4 linked regions of the Saccharomyces cerevisiae S288C genome follow. Changing the gene in region 4 together with the main gene of any one other region gives a genetic interaction. Each region holds a gene or a part of one and is shown on either strand. Other genes may lie near its edges. The genes, in order: ERJ5, MCT1, PEF1 and JEM1.

Evidence for each region.
Region 1: mutations in JEM1 (region 4) and ERJ5 impair growth when combined (synthetic growth defect), as found in Saccharomyces cerevisiae (one study listed by BioGRID).
Region 2: mutations in JEM1 (region 4) and MCT1 together harm fitness more than expected from each alone (negative genetic interaction), as found in Saccharomyces cerevisiae (2 studies listed by BioGRID).
Region 3: mutations in JEM1 (region 4) and PEF1 together harm fitness more than expected from each alone (negative genetic interaction), as found in Saccharomyces cerevisiae (2 studies listed by BioGRID).

What each region holds. Positions count from the first base shown.
Region 1 is NC_001138.5:236,795-240,078, reverse strand, and holds ERJ5 (Erj5p), read left to right. Parts: upstream 1-1,823; coding exon 1,824-2,711; downstream 2,712-3,284. Other genes in the region: DUG1 (metallodipeptidase), read left to right, coding at 1-87; IRC6 (Irc6p), read left to right, coding at 252-965; KEG1 (Keg1p), read right to left, coding at 1,019-1,621; SAP155 (Sap155p), read right to left, coding at 2,829-3,284. UniProt on the Saccharomyces cerevisiae protein: DnaJ-like chaperone required for the folding capacity of the endoplasmic reticulum.
Region 2 is NC_001147.6:755,958-759,500, forward strand, and holds MCT1 ([acyl-carrier-protein] S-malonyltransferase), read right to left. Parts: upstream 1,602-3,543; coding exon 519-1,601; downstream 1-518. Other genes in the region: RCN2 (Rcn2p), read left to right, coding at 1-168; ODC2 (mitochondrial 2-oxodicarboxylate carrier), read left to right, coding at 2,373-3,296. UniProt on the Saccharomyces cerevisiae protein: Involved in biosynthesis of fatty acids in mitochondria.
Region 3 is NC_001139.9:604,429-607,691, forward strand, and holds PEF1 (Pef1p), read left to right. Parts: upstream 1-1,707; coding exon 1,708-2,715; downstream 2,716-3,263. Other genes in the region: RSC subunit protein RSC1, read left to right, coding at 1-19; LST7 (Lst7p), read right to left, coding at 345-1,073; septin SPR3, read left to right, coding at 3,135-3,263. UniProt on the Saccharomyces cerevisiae protein: Calcium-binding protein that is required for polar bud growth and cell wall abscission. Can also bind zinc ions.
Region 4 is NC_001142.9:301,255-305,623, reverse strand, and holds JEM1 (Jem1p), read right to left. Parts: upstream 2,444-4,369; coding exon 506-2,443; downstream 1-505. Other genes in the region: DNA replication protein PSF2, read left to right, coding at 1-403; cohesin subunit SMC3, read left to right, coding at 2,775-4,369.

The sequences.
Region 1 (3,284 bases), on a different chromosome or scaffold from region 4:
GAAAAGTTAGATATTTCAAATTTTGTTGGTGGTATGAAGACGATGGCTGCTTACTTGCAATATTACTCTGAATCGCCAGAAAACTAAGTCATCTTATTTATATATGTGTATATATGTGTAAATTCCATGTCATTCAAGTTTACTCATTCCTATTCGAATTCTGAAAAGAGAGGAAAAACAGAAAACTCTTTATAGAGAAAATCTGATGCAGCAAGATAGCAAGTATATATACGCAAAAATACCAATCTACCATGGTTCTTCAATACCCCCAGAATAAAATATTGGTTTTATCAGATCACCCACACAACTTTTTAAAAACACAATTTTTGCAAGACCTGTTTCATTGCTCTAGCACGGGCATCAGTATAGTTAAGGACCAAACTTGGGAAAATAGATACTATAAAGTCCATTTTGATCTTTATATTGACTCTTGCAAAGAGATACCAGTATGGGTGGAAGAATTTATAACGCCTGAATGTGAACCGCTTAGAAATGTCATGGCAGGAATTATCTTAATAACGGACATCCGGCAAACAAAACCTCAAGAACTGCTGCACCAATTCATGATAGCTGCCCATCGAAATACTTTTGTTGTGTTGGCCAATGTGAACGAAGAAGTCGAGCAAGATGAAATTGATGAACTGAATGAGATATGGAGCAATGCCTTTACAAACGTCATCGAATTCGTAAACTGGAAAAGGTCAAAACCAACTGTTAATCATAACGACTATGGAGAAAAATTGGGGCTTGATAGGATCCAGGAGATTATAGATACCCACGACTGGTTAAATTGTGAAGTTCAACCGGCTACTAAAATAAGGGAGGAAATTCCTAATGAAATGCCCCTCGAACAAATAATTAGGAATTTGCAAAGTGCAAGGCTAAAATATAAGTCTATCGAGAATAGTAGTGAAGCTGATGCTTTTGCAAATGAAATGGCTGACGAACTATCCAGATATTTATGAGTATGTACAGATATGTATATGTGTATACATATGTATTAAACCAATAAGATTGCTCATTTTGTTAATAGTTTTTTGTATGCTGTTAGTAGTACAGGGAAGTATGCTAGTAAAACCACCCTGTTGATTATGTCCAAAGTCGGGGTAGAATGATAGTTCTTAACCTGGATATTTAATAGTAGCAATGCAAATTCACTCAGGTAGAGAATTGGCAATGTAACAAATGTGTTAACCTTCCATACAAGTGTTCTTTCCTTTACGCCCTTACGTTTAAAAAGTTTGCACCAATGGCAATATGCCTGTGATAAAGATAAGGAAATAATGAAACTAGAATATGATGCATTCTTGAGGATCAATGCATGCTCATAATCGTCATAAAAATGGATCACGCTGACTAAATAGATAAAATTTAGGTCTTTCAAAAACGTTCTTGAAAGCAAACCATATTTGAACCCGTGGAATCTAAGCAACCAAATAACTTCCATGATGCTGGAATAAAACATCAAATATATCAAGAATTCGTGGATTCCTCCCGGTAAAAACCGAGACCCTACCAGTGGCATTAATATCAGCCACCGTATCAATAATGCAGCATACAAAAAGCTTGTGGCTAATTGATAATACTGATAAAGCTTATGCGTCAACTTGATACCTGCCATCCTCAATGCTAGTTAAATATATGTGACCGAACAAATACTTTTATTGACGTTGTATTTACATTATTTCCCAATTTGAAGGTAAATCATATTTAATTTCCATATTCAAAATTAATAATCACGAAAAAAATGAGATTTTCAAAATAACACGTACCAAAAGAATAGAAAACGAACAAAAAATCAAGGTTACAAGATCACTAAAAGAATGAACGGTTACTGGAAACCTGCGTTGGTTGTCCTGGGATTGGTATCTCTATCATATGCTTTTACCACCATTGAAACAGAAATTTTCCAATTACAAAATGAAATAAGTACGAAATATGGCCCAGATATGAACTTCTACAAGTTCTTGAAGTTACCTAAACTGCAGAATTCTAGTACAAAGGAGATTACAAAAAACTTAAGAAAGCTATCCAAGAAGTACCATCCGGATAAGAACCCTAAATACCGTAAATTGTATGAAAGGTTAAACCTCGCTACTCAAATTCTTTCAAACAGCTCTAATCGTAAGATTTATGATTATTATCTACAGAATGGCTTTCCAAACTATGATTTCCATAAGGGTGGTTTTTATTTTTCCAGAATGAAGCCTAAGACTTGGTTCCTGCTGGCCTTTATTTGGATAGTCGTTAATATTGGGCAGTATATCATTTCTATTATTCAATATCGTTCTCAAAGATCAAGAATTGAAAACTTCATCAGTCAGTGTAAACAACAGGATGATACCAATGGACTAGGCGTAAAACAACTAACGTTTAAACAACATGAAAAGGATGAGGGTAAAAGTTTGGTTGTAAGGTTTAGCGATGTCTATGTTGTAGAGCCTGATGGAAGTGAAACACTAATTTCGCCAGATACCTTGGATAAACCTTCAGTAAAGAACTGTTTGTTTTGGAGAATACCTGCTTCGGTTTGGAACATGACGTTTGGCAAATCTGTTGGTAGCGCAGGAAAAGAAGAAATAATAACGGATAGTAAAAAGTATGATGGTAACCAAACAAAAAAGGGGAACAAAGTAAAAAAGGGTTCTGCAAAGAAAGGCCAAAAGAAAATGGAATTGCCTAACGGTAAAGTGATCTATTCACGTAAATGATACGTAAGAAGTAATATTATCATGATGAATGAATGAATGAATAGAAAACTACATGGTACTTATACATATAAATTAATATATATATATACAAATTAAAGAAAAGTACAAAACAATGTATCATTCATGATCATAATCATTATCATTATCAGCATCTTCATTATAATTACGAGTATTATCATTGTCATTATCATTATTATCGTTATTATCGTTGTTATTACTATTATTACTATTATGGTTGGTATTGTTAATGTTACTATTACTGTTCTTGTCCTCCGGCGGCCCCAGTATGAAAACCCCATTTTCCGTGTTCTTATTATCAACGTCTTCTTGAGCCCTATTGATTAACATTTCCCTTAACTTGTTGTGTAAATCAGATTCTGTAGATAAGGACAACTGTTCTTCTAGAGACTCAACATTGATTAATTGGCCGCCACCACTTGTTCCATTACTACTCCCGGTATCTGAATCAAGGATTTCATTATTATTACTTGCATCACCATTTGGAGTTAATACAGTAGTATTGTCAGGCAGCTGCGGAATGATGTTACCATTTCCATCATCAATATAACTTCC
Region 2 (3,543 bases), on a different chromosome or scaffold from region 4:
AAGTCAGCGTCAGGCACCAAATGCCTTTTCGCCTCTAAGCCACTAGGATTGACCATTGATACTTCTACTAGAAGTAATGCTGCATCGTGTACCGAAAATGATGTAAACGCTACTGCCTCAAATCCTCCAAAAAGTCCAAGCATAACGGTTAACGAGTTTTTCCATTAGAGCACTAGAGCATAACTAATACTATAAATTAGACAAAGCAGAAAAAGGGAAAAAGGTTCATGCTATGATAATGTAAAGAATATGCGTAGAGATATCTATATATCCATTTATACGTTTATATACTTGCGTGTTTACTTTGTATGGCATAATAACATGTATGTTTGCATTAGGGATTTGTTTTAGTGTATCCAAGAGCGATTAGTATAGAAGGAATGTATGTATGTGTATACGATATTTATATAAAGGGAAGTTGGCTAATTTTTTGCACACTTTCGTCCTCTTTCCATTTTCAATGAATGCGTAGAAGCACAGACTGGGAGTGGAGAGAGTTCGCAGTTTTGATCTCTTTCTCAATCTTTGTTCTCCTCTGCCGCCTTGTGATAAGCGTCTATAGTTGCTAAAGAGGTGTATTCTATAGTGTCCACTTGGGGACAATTTCTCCGAATAAGGTTATAAATCACATTGCCCGGGCCAAAGCAAATACTCTTATCAATTTCCACTGGGGTTCCAGAGTTTATGGTATCATAACACATGGTGAATTGCACAGTCCTGCTTGAACACTTAACGAATCTATCTAGGGCATGATGAATATAGTAAGATATATTACCATCTAAGTTAGCTATTATTGGATGGTTCAACTCCATCAACGTGTGAGTTCCGTTTTTCTTTAATATATCCCAAATGTAGTCATAGAGTGGTTCCTGAACGGGCCTCAACACAGTGCTATTATGGAAGGGGATGTTGTATGGGTTAGTTAATTCTGTAATTCTTAAACGCGGGAACCTTAAGTTCAATTCTGTTCTTAAGGACTCTAAATCATCAACCAGACCGGTGACTACACATTGCTTTACTGAATTTGCATTTGCTACAGAAATGGTATTTTGTGAAGATGATAATAAATTAGGGGAATTTAGTAGTTTTTGCACTTCTTGCGGTAAATCTGTGGCCCTCGGAGAAGAGAGTGCCCACATTTCAAATTTGTTGGATCTGTTGATATTGTGGGCTACTAAGTACTTTTCAGTAGATGTTACCATTAACTTATTTCTAAAATTAGCAATATCAAAAAGATCCTTTAACGAAAACAGTGAATTAACACTCAGACATGTTAACTCGCCTAGCGAGTGACCCAAAAGGTAACATTGTTCATTGTCTTTCTTGTCGGGGGAATCGATCTTAGTCATATTTTTTGGTGCTTGATCTTGAGGATCAGAAGGATTCGAGAGTATCTGGTACAATTGATAGAAAAGGTTGGAGCAGACTGCAATGCTTCCGGGGCTGGAAGGGTTCTGGAAGATGTACTGCAATAGATCATTTGATTCCTTGCCGTTCTGACTCAGTATTGTTTGGAATTCTCTTGATTTGTTTCTTATTATCGCTTTTAATATCGAAATGGAGATGGAGGTCCCTTGACCTGGGAAGGTTAGTAGCTTCATACAAACGCTTATATATGTGTACCACGATCAGAAAAGTGCAAAACGCTTTGTTACTACCCTCAGTGTACGTTATTGAATAGTTCTAATATGCAGCAAGTTACTGGTAAGCTTTGTTTTACCCTTGAGTTCGATACTCAGTTTACTTCCTCCATCGGAGGTTGAAATGCGCCTTGTCATACGGCCAAAAAATGCCATGTAAGAAGATGACACTTTCTGCATTTTGAGTATATTTAAGGGCCTATAATTTTCTTCCAACTTTCTCAAGACAAGCATATTGTGTACTTTCGGTTTAGCAAGCCTTTTTACTTCGTTAACACAAGGCGATGCTAACGTGTGTTTACTGTTTTAGAAGATCGGCATTTATCAAATGTAAGGACAATGAGACATGGTTGACCAATTAGTTCTTCTCAGATAGGAGTTCTAGTTCTTCTGCATACTACTTAGTCCTCTTCTGTCGTTGACATTCAATTGCTTGTGCATTTCTAACATGAAATAGTGGTACTACGAATGCTATTATTCTATGCCAGGCAAATTCCTCTGGAACTTTTTTTTTTTCAGTTTTTTCGTGGTGAGCTTTTTTTGCCTGTCTATCTCGAAAGATCTTGTTGTTGATGACTCAGTGCAGTCGCGATCACTTTCGACTCGACATGCATTTGCAAGTAATTCTGTTATAAAACGTTCTCTTCGTTTTTTCAGTCTGAAGCTCTTCTGCACTTTTTTACTGGGTTAGATTCTATATAGTCAAGTAATTCGAGGTAGCATCAAAGTAATATGTCATCAGACTCAAACGCAAAGCCATTGCCTTTTATATATCAGTTCATATCAGGTGCCGTCGCCGGTATTTCTGAGTTAACTGTTATGTATCCGCTTGATGTTGTTAAGACAAGATTTCAACTGGAGGTGACGACGCCTACTGCCGCTGCAGTAGGAAAGCAAGTAGAGAGATATAATGGTGTCATCGATTGTTTGAAAAAAATTGTAAAGAAGGAAGGGTTTAGCAGACTTTACAGAGGTATTAGTTCACCAATGTTGATGGAAGCACCAAAGAGAGCCACCAAATTTGCATGTAACGATCAATATCAAAAAATCTTCAAAAACCTATTCAACACGAATGAAACTACGCAGAAGATCTCCATTGCGGCTGGTGCATCTGCTGGTATGACAGAAGCTGCAGTTATTGTTCCATTTGAATTGATCAAAATCAGGATGCAAGACGTCAAGTCCAGCTATCTTGGACCAATGGACTGTTTGAAAAAAACAATCAAAAACGAAGGTATTATGGGGCTATACAAGGGTATCGAATCTACCATGTGGAGAAACGCTCTTTGGAATGGTGGCTACTTCGGTGTTATCTACCAAGTGAGAAATTCCATGCCCGTAGCAAAGACAAAGGGACAAAAGACCAGAAATGACCTTATTGCAGGTGCGATCGGTGGTACGGTCGGGACCATGCTTAACACTCCCTTTGACGTGGTGAAATCCAGAATCCAAAGTGTGGACGCGGTCAGCAGTGCTGTTAAAAAATACAACTGGTGCCTACCTTCGCTATTGGTCATATACCGTGAAGAAGGCTTCAGAGCATTGTACAAAGGTTTCGTCCCCAAAGTATGTAGACTAGCACCCGGTGGTTCATTAATGTTGGTGGTTTTTACCGGTATGATGAACTTTTTCAGGGATCTGAAGTACGGACACTGATATTTATTGTATATAGAATACCTCTTTCCTCTTCAATCTTAACTACGTTATTTCTACGTCAAAATAAGAATAGCATGTCTGTCCTACCAGCCCTTGCATAGGCGTCTTAAAATGTTGAGAAGCCTAAACTTCCCTCAATTTCCTACACAAAAGGGCATTAAGATGAACAAAATGATGATCTCTCCGATGGACTTGACGCTTATACCAAAAGAGACTCGATATAAACAACACGGTTTTATAGTCCTGG
Region 3 (3,263 bases), on a different chromosome or scaffold from region 4:
AGAATTTAATAAATTATGACCATGATAAATTCACCACATGTATCTATATATGTTCATGCATATACCATATATATTTTGTTATTCATACGATAGACCTCAATCGTTTTGTTGCCTTTCAAAACGCACAATTGTAAACCTAGCTTACTATTTATCTATCGCGGTCCAGAATGGCTTTCCTTTTTAAATTCATCCCAGAAGCCACGTCGGAGTAAAGTATTCGGCCTTGATGACTATTTCGAATCGAAATGAAAGAATAAAAGGAACTAGGAGGTTGTTCCAACAATTTTCCATGCCGTAATTTCATCGGTTATTAGGTTACCAGCATTTATCTCAGTTTATTTGAGTCAAGGTAATTTATTTTCATTCATTACTGTATGGAGTAAAAATGAATTCCATTTATGTATTCGCACGAAGAGAAATTTATCATCCGTCAGAGACACCAAATTACGGCCGAATTTAGATTTGTTTGCACGTAAATATGAGCCAATGAAAGCGTTATTATTCAATGTTTCCAAATTGTTTTCCACCGTTTTATTTTTCCCCAAGAATTCGCTTTTATGAATGTTTTTAATATATGCAATCATTTTATCAAATCCACCGATGATAAAGTTCCAGTGTTCACTCAACATTTTCATAGAATCGTCATGGCTTCTGGAATCGACTGTTAAAATAAAACAATATCTTCTTTCATTGCCTCTAGCATTTTCATCATACAGTTTAAAGCCTATAACTAAGTTCAATCCTCTAAGATCATCAAAAAATATAAAAGGCATATTATCATAAATCATTGTTTCTTCAGAAAAGGCTCTTTTAATAATAGAATTTAGCAATTGGTATCTTATAGAAGAATATTGGGTAGTTATAAACGGAACATCTTCGATGAAGCACCGCATCGATCTAGTTGACTCTTCAGGAAACTGTAAAAGACATGATTCGCAATATGATTCAGTTGGATAATCAGGCACTAGTAATTCTTCACCTAGCGTTCCCTTTTCTGCGGATTGTGTAACTGATATGATCCTTGGGCCATGCTTGTCGCAGAAATGAGCCAATGAAATCACTGTCGAGGACATTCTATGCATCTATTTCATCAACCATTTAAACGCTAACTTATTTTATGGAGGTGCTAGTTAGTTGGACTTTATTGCTTCATTTATCGTTTGATGGTCATCGAATAGAAGATTCCTAAGCCCTTTTCTTTTTACTCAAGATTTTCTTTTTCAAGCGTGTTTTTTCTGGCAAGTACGAAAACGGCATCTTCGAACTTGGCGAATGAACAATCGGTTTGGTTCAACATTTCCAAGAACAACTACAACATACTATCAGTGTTACTTTCAAAAGTCTTTTAATACATTTGAAATGATATTCAGTGGAAGTGGAATGAAATAGGCCACAGTGAATAGGCCACGATACACACAGCATGTGTCATGCTCAATACCTTGCACCTGAATCTATATAATCTTGTAGTTCACCATTATATACATAACTCAGAAGAAGAAAACAATACGCATATTGGATAGTGCTCCATCGCTTTTAACAACTGATAATTTCAGTCATCTGGCTCAGGGTCTTGTCGATTTTTTTTATTTAGAAACTATCCGAATAAAAAAACCGCAGGAATACAAAGCGATGGGAATTGCTATTTCACTGAACATGTATGTATACCGTATACCGCATAAAATAACTATAAACCTACACCATTAAACGATGTGTGCAAAGAAGCTCAAATACGCTGCTGGCGATGACTTTGTACGCTATGCTACACCTAAAGAGGCCATGGAGGAAACTAGACGTGAATTCGAGAAAGAGAAACAACGACAGCAACAAATAAAGGTTACTCAAGCACAAACTCCCAACACTAGAGTCCACTCAGCTCCAATTCCCTTACAAACTCAATATAACAAAAACAGAGCAGAAAACGGTCACCACTCCTATGGTTCTCCCCAAAGTTATTCTCCAAGACATACGAAAACACCTGTGGATCCTAGATATAATGTTATCGCACAGAAACCAGCAGGCAGGCCTATACCTCCAGCGCCAACCCATTATAACAACTTGAACACTTCCGCTCAACGGATAGCTTCCTCTCCTCCTCCCCTAATTCACAATCAAGCAGTGCCTGCACAACTCTTGAAGAAAGTTGCACCTGCTTCGTTCGATAGCAGAGAAGATGTACGAGACATGCAAGTGGCCACACAGCTATTTCATAACCATGATGTAAAGGGCAAAAACCGACTGACAGCTGAGGAACTACAGAACTTACTACAAAACGACGACAACTCCCATTTTTGTATATCATCAGTAGATGCGCTGATAAATTTATTTGGTGCTTCCAGGTTTGGCACTGTCAACCAGGCAGAATTCATCGCCCTATACAAAAGAGTGAAAAGTTGGAGAAAAGTTTATGTGGACAATGATATCAACGGATCGCTCACCATTTCTGTAAGCGAATTTCATAACTCACTTCAAGAACTAGGATATCTAATACCTTTTGAAGTTAGCGAGAAAACATTTGACCAATATGCTGAGTTTATAAACAGAAATGGAACAGGAAAAGAACTAAAGTTTGATAAATTCGTTGAGGCGTTAGTTTGGCTAATGAGATTAACAAAATTATTCAGGAAATTCGATACTAATCAAGAAGGCATTGCAACCATACAGTACAAAGATTTTATCGATGCTACATTATATTTAGGTCGTTTCCTACCTCATTGATGAAAACCATTCGTTCTTTCTGGTCGTAATACAAATAGAAGAGGTAAACCAATCAATGGCCCGTTAGTTTGCCATTTGCTGCATCCTTCCCATGCAAAGTGTCTTCGTATTTAGTGATGTTTTGTTAGCGACACAAAAGAGACCTCGATGACAGACATTTTTTTTTCTTTACTTAATGTATTATAAGTGTGTCTGACCTCGACTATCATTATAATATTAATTTGAAGTTCTATTTTACATTTATATGAGTTATTCCATTACATAATAAGGATATCAAGAGCAGATTAGTGTCTTTTAGATTATACATCTTTTTCCCCCCTTTTTTGTTGTTGGTAGTGGAAAGAAAAGGATCAATTAACAGAAATAAATAAATAAATAATAAAAACCTAAAATTCCTTTTGCGTCATTGAATTTTTATTATGAAGTCAAAAGGGAGTCGGTTGTCAACAGACTGTCCTGTCGAATTTCCCAAGATAGTCTCTGGATTCGCTGAGGAAGTGAAAATACGTAGACAAAGTTCCCAAGGACAGTACGCCGTCGATTCACAT
Region 4 (4,369 bases):
GCAACAATCCAAGTGCAGTATTGTAGCACCACAGTGGTTAACGACGAAAGAGCTTGATAGAAAAATACAATATGAGAAAACTCATCCGGATAGGTTTAGTGAGTTGCCGTGGAACTGGCTTGTCTTGGCACGTATACTTTTCAATAAAGCTAAGGATGATTTTCATGACCCCATTCACGAATTACGTGGTAAAATACAAGACTTAAGGGAAATAAGGCAGATCAAAGTGTTAAAAGGCCTTAAGTATTTGAATGAATCTCATTTACAATTGGATAATTTAAGTCTATTAGAAATCAATGAGTTGAGGCCGTTCATTACTGAAATCATGGATAAACTGCGAGAAATTCACACAGCATCTCTTACCGCTGGTACTGAAAATGATGAAGAAGAATTCAATATTTAAAAAAGTGCTGGCTTTGCAATAATTAGAACTTTCAGTGATATGCGTATGTATATATATGTACTTGTTGTGGTATCCTAGTTAATGGGCATAGAATGTATTTCATCAAAGCCCAAAATTCATTTTAAAGCCATTTCCGAATGGGAAGCCACTTCCTGGATTTTTGAACATGTTATTTTGCCTAGGCCCCTGAGGAAAAGTGTTGCGGCGGGGGTTTGATCTGGAAAGATCGTATTCCTTCCTTTTATCGTCATCACTTAATGTTTCGTACGCTTCATTGATTTGTGACATAGTTTCGTGAATTGATTCTTGTTTGTCGTTATGGTTGGCCTTTATTTTGTCTGGGTGGTATTTTTTGGTTAAATTTAAATATGCTTTCCTTATTTCTTTCGAACTAGCACTAGGCGATACTCCAAGAATTTTATAATAGTCCTTTTTTGGGTCGTAGTTAGGCGCTGCTGGGGGTGCTTGATGTCGTTGGTGTTGTTGCTGCTGTTGTTGTTGTTGGAAATATTGCTGGTTGAAATTCCGATGTTTATGCTCTTTATAGGTTTGTAATTGTTTCTGTAATAATCGGAAGTTCTTCATCACGTATGGATTGGTCGACTCTGAGAGGCCGTTATCTTGGAAAAATTTGTTTATCTGGTCATATAATTGCTTTTTGAACTGTGAATGAGGTTTAGACCTACTTTTATTAAGTATTGAGTTTACCATATACATCAGCAAATGAGGATTGGAATTCCATACATCACTCAATACCGTCTCAGGTAAAGGTTTTTGCTCGGACTTAGCATCCTGATAGTGTTTCCATGTTTCTAGTGTTAGTGAATGCCTCAAACTCTTTTTACAGAACGGCGCAGCCAGTTTAGCTCTCTTGACGTCCGGACTCATGCTAGAAGCCTGACAAAGAATGGAATCAATGTATACTAGATAATCGGTATGATAGTATGATTTTGGTTTGACAAAACCATCGGTTATTGGGGGATCTTCGAATAAATTTTTTGCCAAAGGTCTCGACAGTTGAACGTCTTCTATCAATTGTTTGATAATTTCCTCTAAAAAGAAGTAGTTGTTTTTAAAGTTTGTATCTTTGTTAAGAATTTTCATTGGTGTAATAAATGGCTTCTTATCCTTCAAATAAAATTCAATAATTCTATCCCAACTTCTAAACTTTTTGTTCTCAAATGCATATGTTGCTGGATCCAGGATCTGTCTTTTTGATGGATTCACCTTGTTCAATTTGGAAATAGTCAGGCTTAGTTTTTTACATTTATCATAGTCCATATCAATGGAAAGGCATTTTCTTATATTGAACGACGCATCTGAGTTAAGTACAAAGGTCTGTAAAACAGATATGACATAATGAATCGAAAGTCTTGTATCTATGCTTAAGCTAGCCAAATGCTTGTCGAGGATTGTTTCGTAATCCAAAATGATAGCAGCAGCTAACGAAACGTCAATTTCTTCAGCTAGTTTGTGAAAAAGAACATCGATGTGCGTGGAGAGGACGTTAACATCGTACGGCGTTATGCGTAGCAGCTCAGAAATATCTTCCTCCACAGAAACGTCTTTGGATGATATTTTGTTTCTGATGGTTTCATTCAAGGACAGATATTTCGCATACTGATCATCCTTCTGATGCACCTTGTCCCACATCCCAAAATCGACATACAGCTCTTGTAGCCTCTTTTCCGCCAGCTTCCCAAAAGAACCTTTGTAAGTTTCATTAAAAACGATTTTTTCAAATGTGTTAATAGCTCTTAGATGTTGATCGTTGGATAATTGGATCAGCCCAATTTTGTAGTATATTTGATTGGCTAGTTGAATTACGTCTGACATATTTTCACTTGCTGGATCCGCAGTCATGCAGTTTTGTTCCAACTGCCCAGCGATCCATTGGTATTTTGGCAAGGATTCAGTGTCTACTTTTAAATTCTTGTTCAATCGTTGTAACTCAGCCAAATCACATAACTTAGAAGCCGATATCAGTACTGGCAAAATAACGCTATACACTAAAAGACAGTATCCCGAGATCAGTATCATACTTCGTTTCGTAGACGTTAAGATCGGCCTTAGTAATACACTAAACCAACAATGAATGAAACCTTCTGGGCCCTTCTCGCAACCAACTCCTTTCACTTGGAATAACTTATAAGCAGTTTTGGCTCTATTTTTGCCTGCCATCGAAGTGTACACCTGTCACATTTCACTATTAGGAACCTAAAGAAAAAAAGTCTCAGGAATAGGAAAAGACGCGACGCGTTAGGAAATGATTAAACTAATTAAAGATGAGTTTTCAACCTCATCTTTAAACAGTTTCACCATTTTTTTACAAGACGACCTGCTGGAGTAACGGTAATAGTTCACGTCTGCAATGTATATCAAAAGGGTGATAATTAAGGGTTTTAAAACCTACAGGAACGAAACCATTATTGATAATTTCTCGCCGCATCAGAATGTTATTATTGGCTCCAATGGTTCAGGTAAATCGAATTTCTTCGCTGCGATTAGATTTGTTCTTAGTGACGATTACTCTAATCTTAAGAGGGAAGAAAGGCAAGGGCTTATCCACCAAGGTTCTGGTGGTTCAGTGATGAGTGCCTCGGTAGAAATTGTGTTCCACGATCCAGATCATTCTATGATATTGCCCTCCGGTGTACTTTCGAGAGGAGATGACGAAGTGACCATTAGAAGAACAGTAGGGCTGAAGAAGGATGACTATCAATTAAATGACAGAAACGTGACCAAAGGGGACATAGTCAGAATGTTGGAAACCGCTGGTTTTTCAATGAATAATCCGTATAATATAGTACCACAAGGTAAAATAGTCGCCTTAACTAATGCCAAGGATAAGGAAAGATTGCAGTTATTGGAAGATGTTGTAGGAGCTAAGTCATTTGAAGTAAAATTGAAAGCTTCATTGAAAAAAATGGAGGAAACAGAGCAGAAAAAGATTCAAATTAACAAGGAAATGGGTGAACTAAACTCTAAATTGAGTGAAATGGAACAGGAACGTAAGGAATTAGAGAAATACAACGAGTTGGAACGCAACAGAAAGATCTACCAGTTCACATTGTATGATCGAGAATTAAATGAGGTTATCAATCAAATGGAAAGACTGGACGGTGATTATAATAACACGGTATACTCTTCCGAACAATACATCCAGGAGTTGGATAAAAGAGAGGATATGATTGACCAAGTCTCCAAAAAGCTATCAAGTATTGAAGCTTCACTGAAGATCAAAAATGCGACTGATTTACAACAGGCAAAACTACGGGAATCTGAGATTTCTCAGAAATTAACAAACGTCAACGTAAAAATAAAGGATGTTCAACAGCAAATTGAGTCAAATGAGGAGCAGAGAAATTTGGATAGTGCAACTTTGAAAGAGATCAAATCTATAATTGAGCAAAGGAAACAAAAGTTGTCTAAAATTTTACCTAGATATCAAGAACTCACAAAGGAAGAAGCAATGTACAAACTTCAATTGGCCTCCTTGCAACAAAAGCAGAGAGATCTTATCTTAAAGAAAGGAGAATATGCCCGTTTTAAATCAAAGGATGAACGCGATACGTGGATTCATTCAGAAATTGAAGAACTGAAATCTTCAATACAAAACTTAAATGAACTGGAAAGTCAATTGCAAATGGATCGTACTTCTTTAAGGAAGCAGTACTCTGCGATTGATGAAGAGATTGAAGAGCTAATTGATTCTATCAATGGACCAGATACCAAGGGTCAATTAGAAGATTTTGATTCGGAATTAATACACCTCAAACAGAAGCTGAGTGAAAGTTTAGACACTCGTAAGGAATTGTGGAGAAAGGAGCAAAAATTACAGACAGTCTTGGAAACTTTATTAAGTGACGTCAATCAAAATCAAAGAAATGTTAATGAAACCATGAGTAGATCATTGGCAAATGGTATAATAAATGTGAAAGAAATTACAGAAAAACTAAAAATATC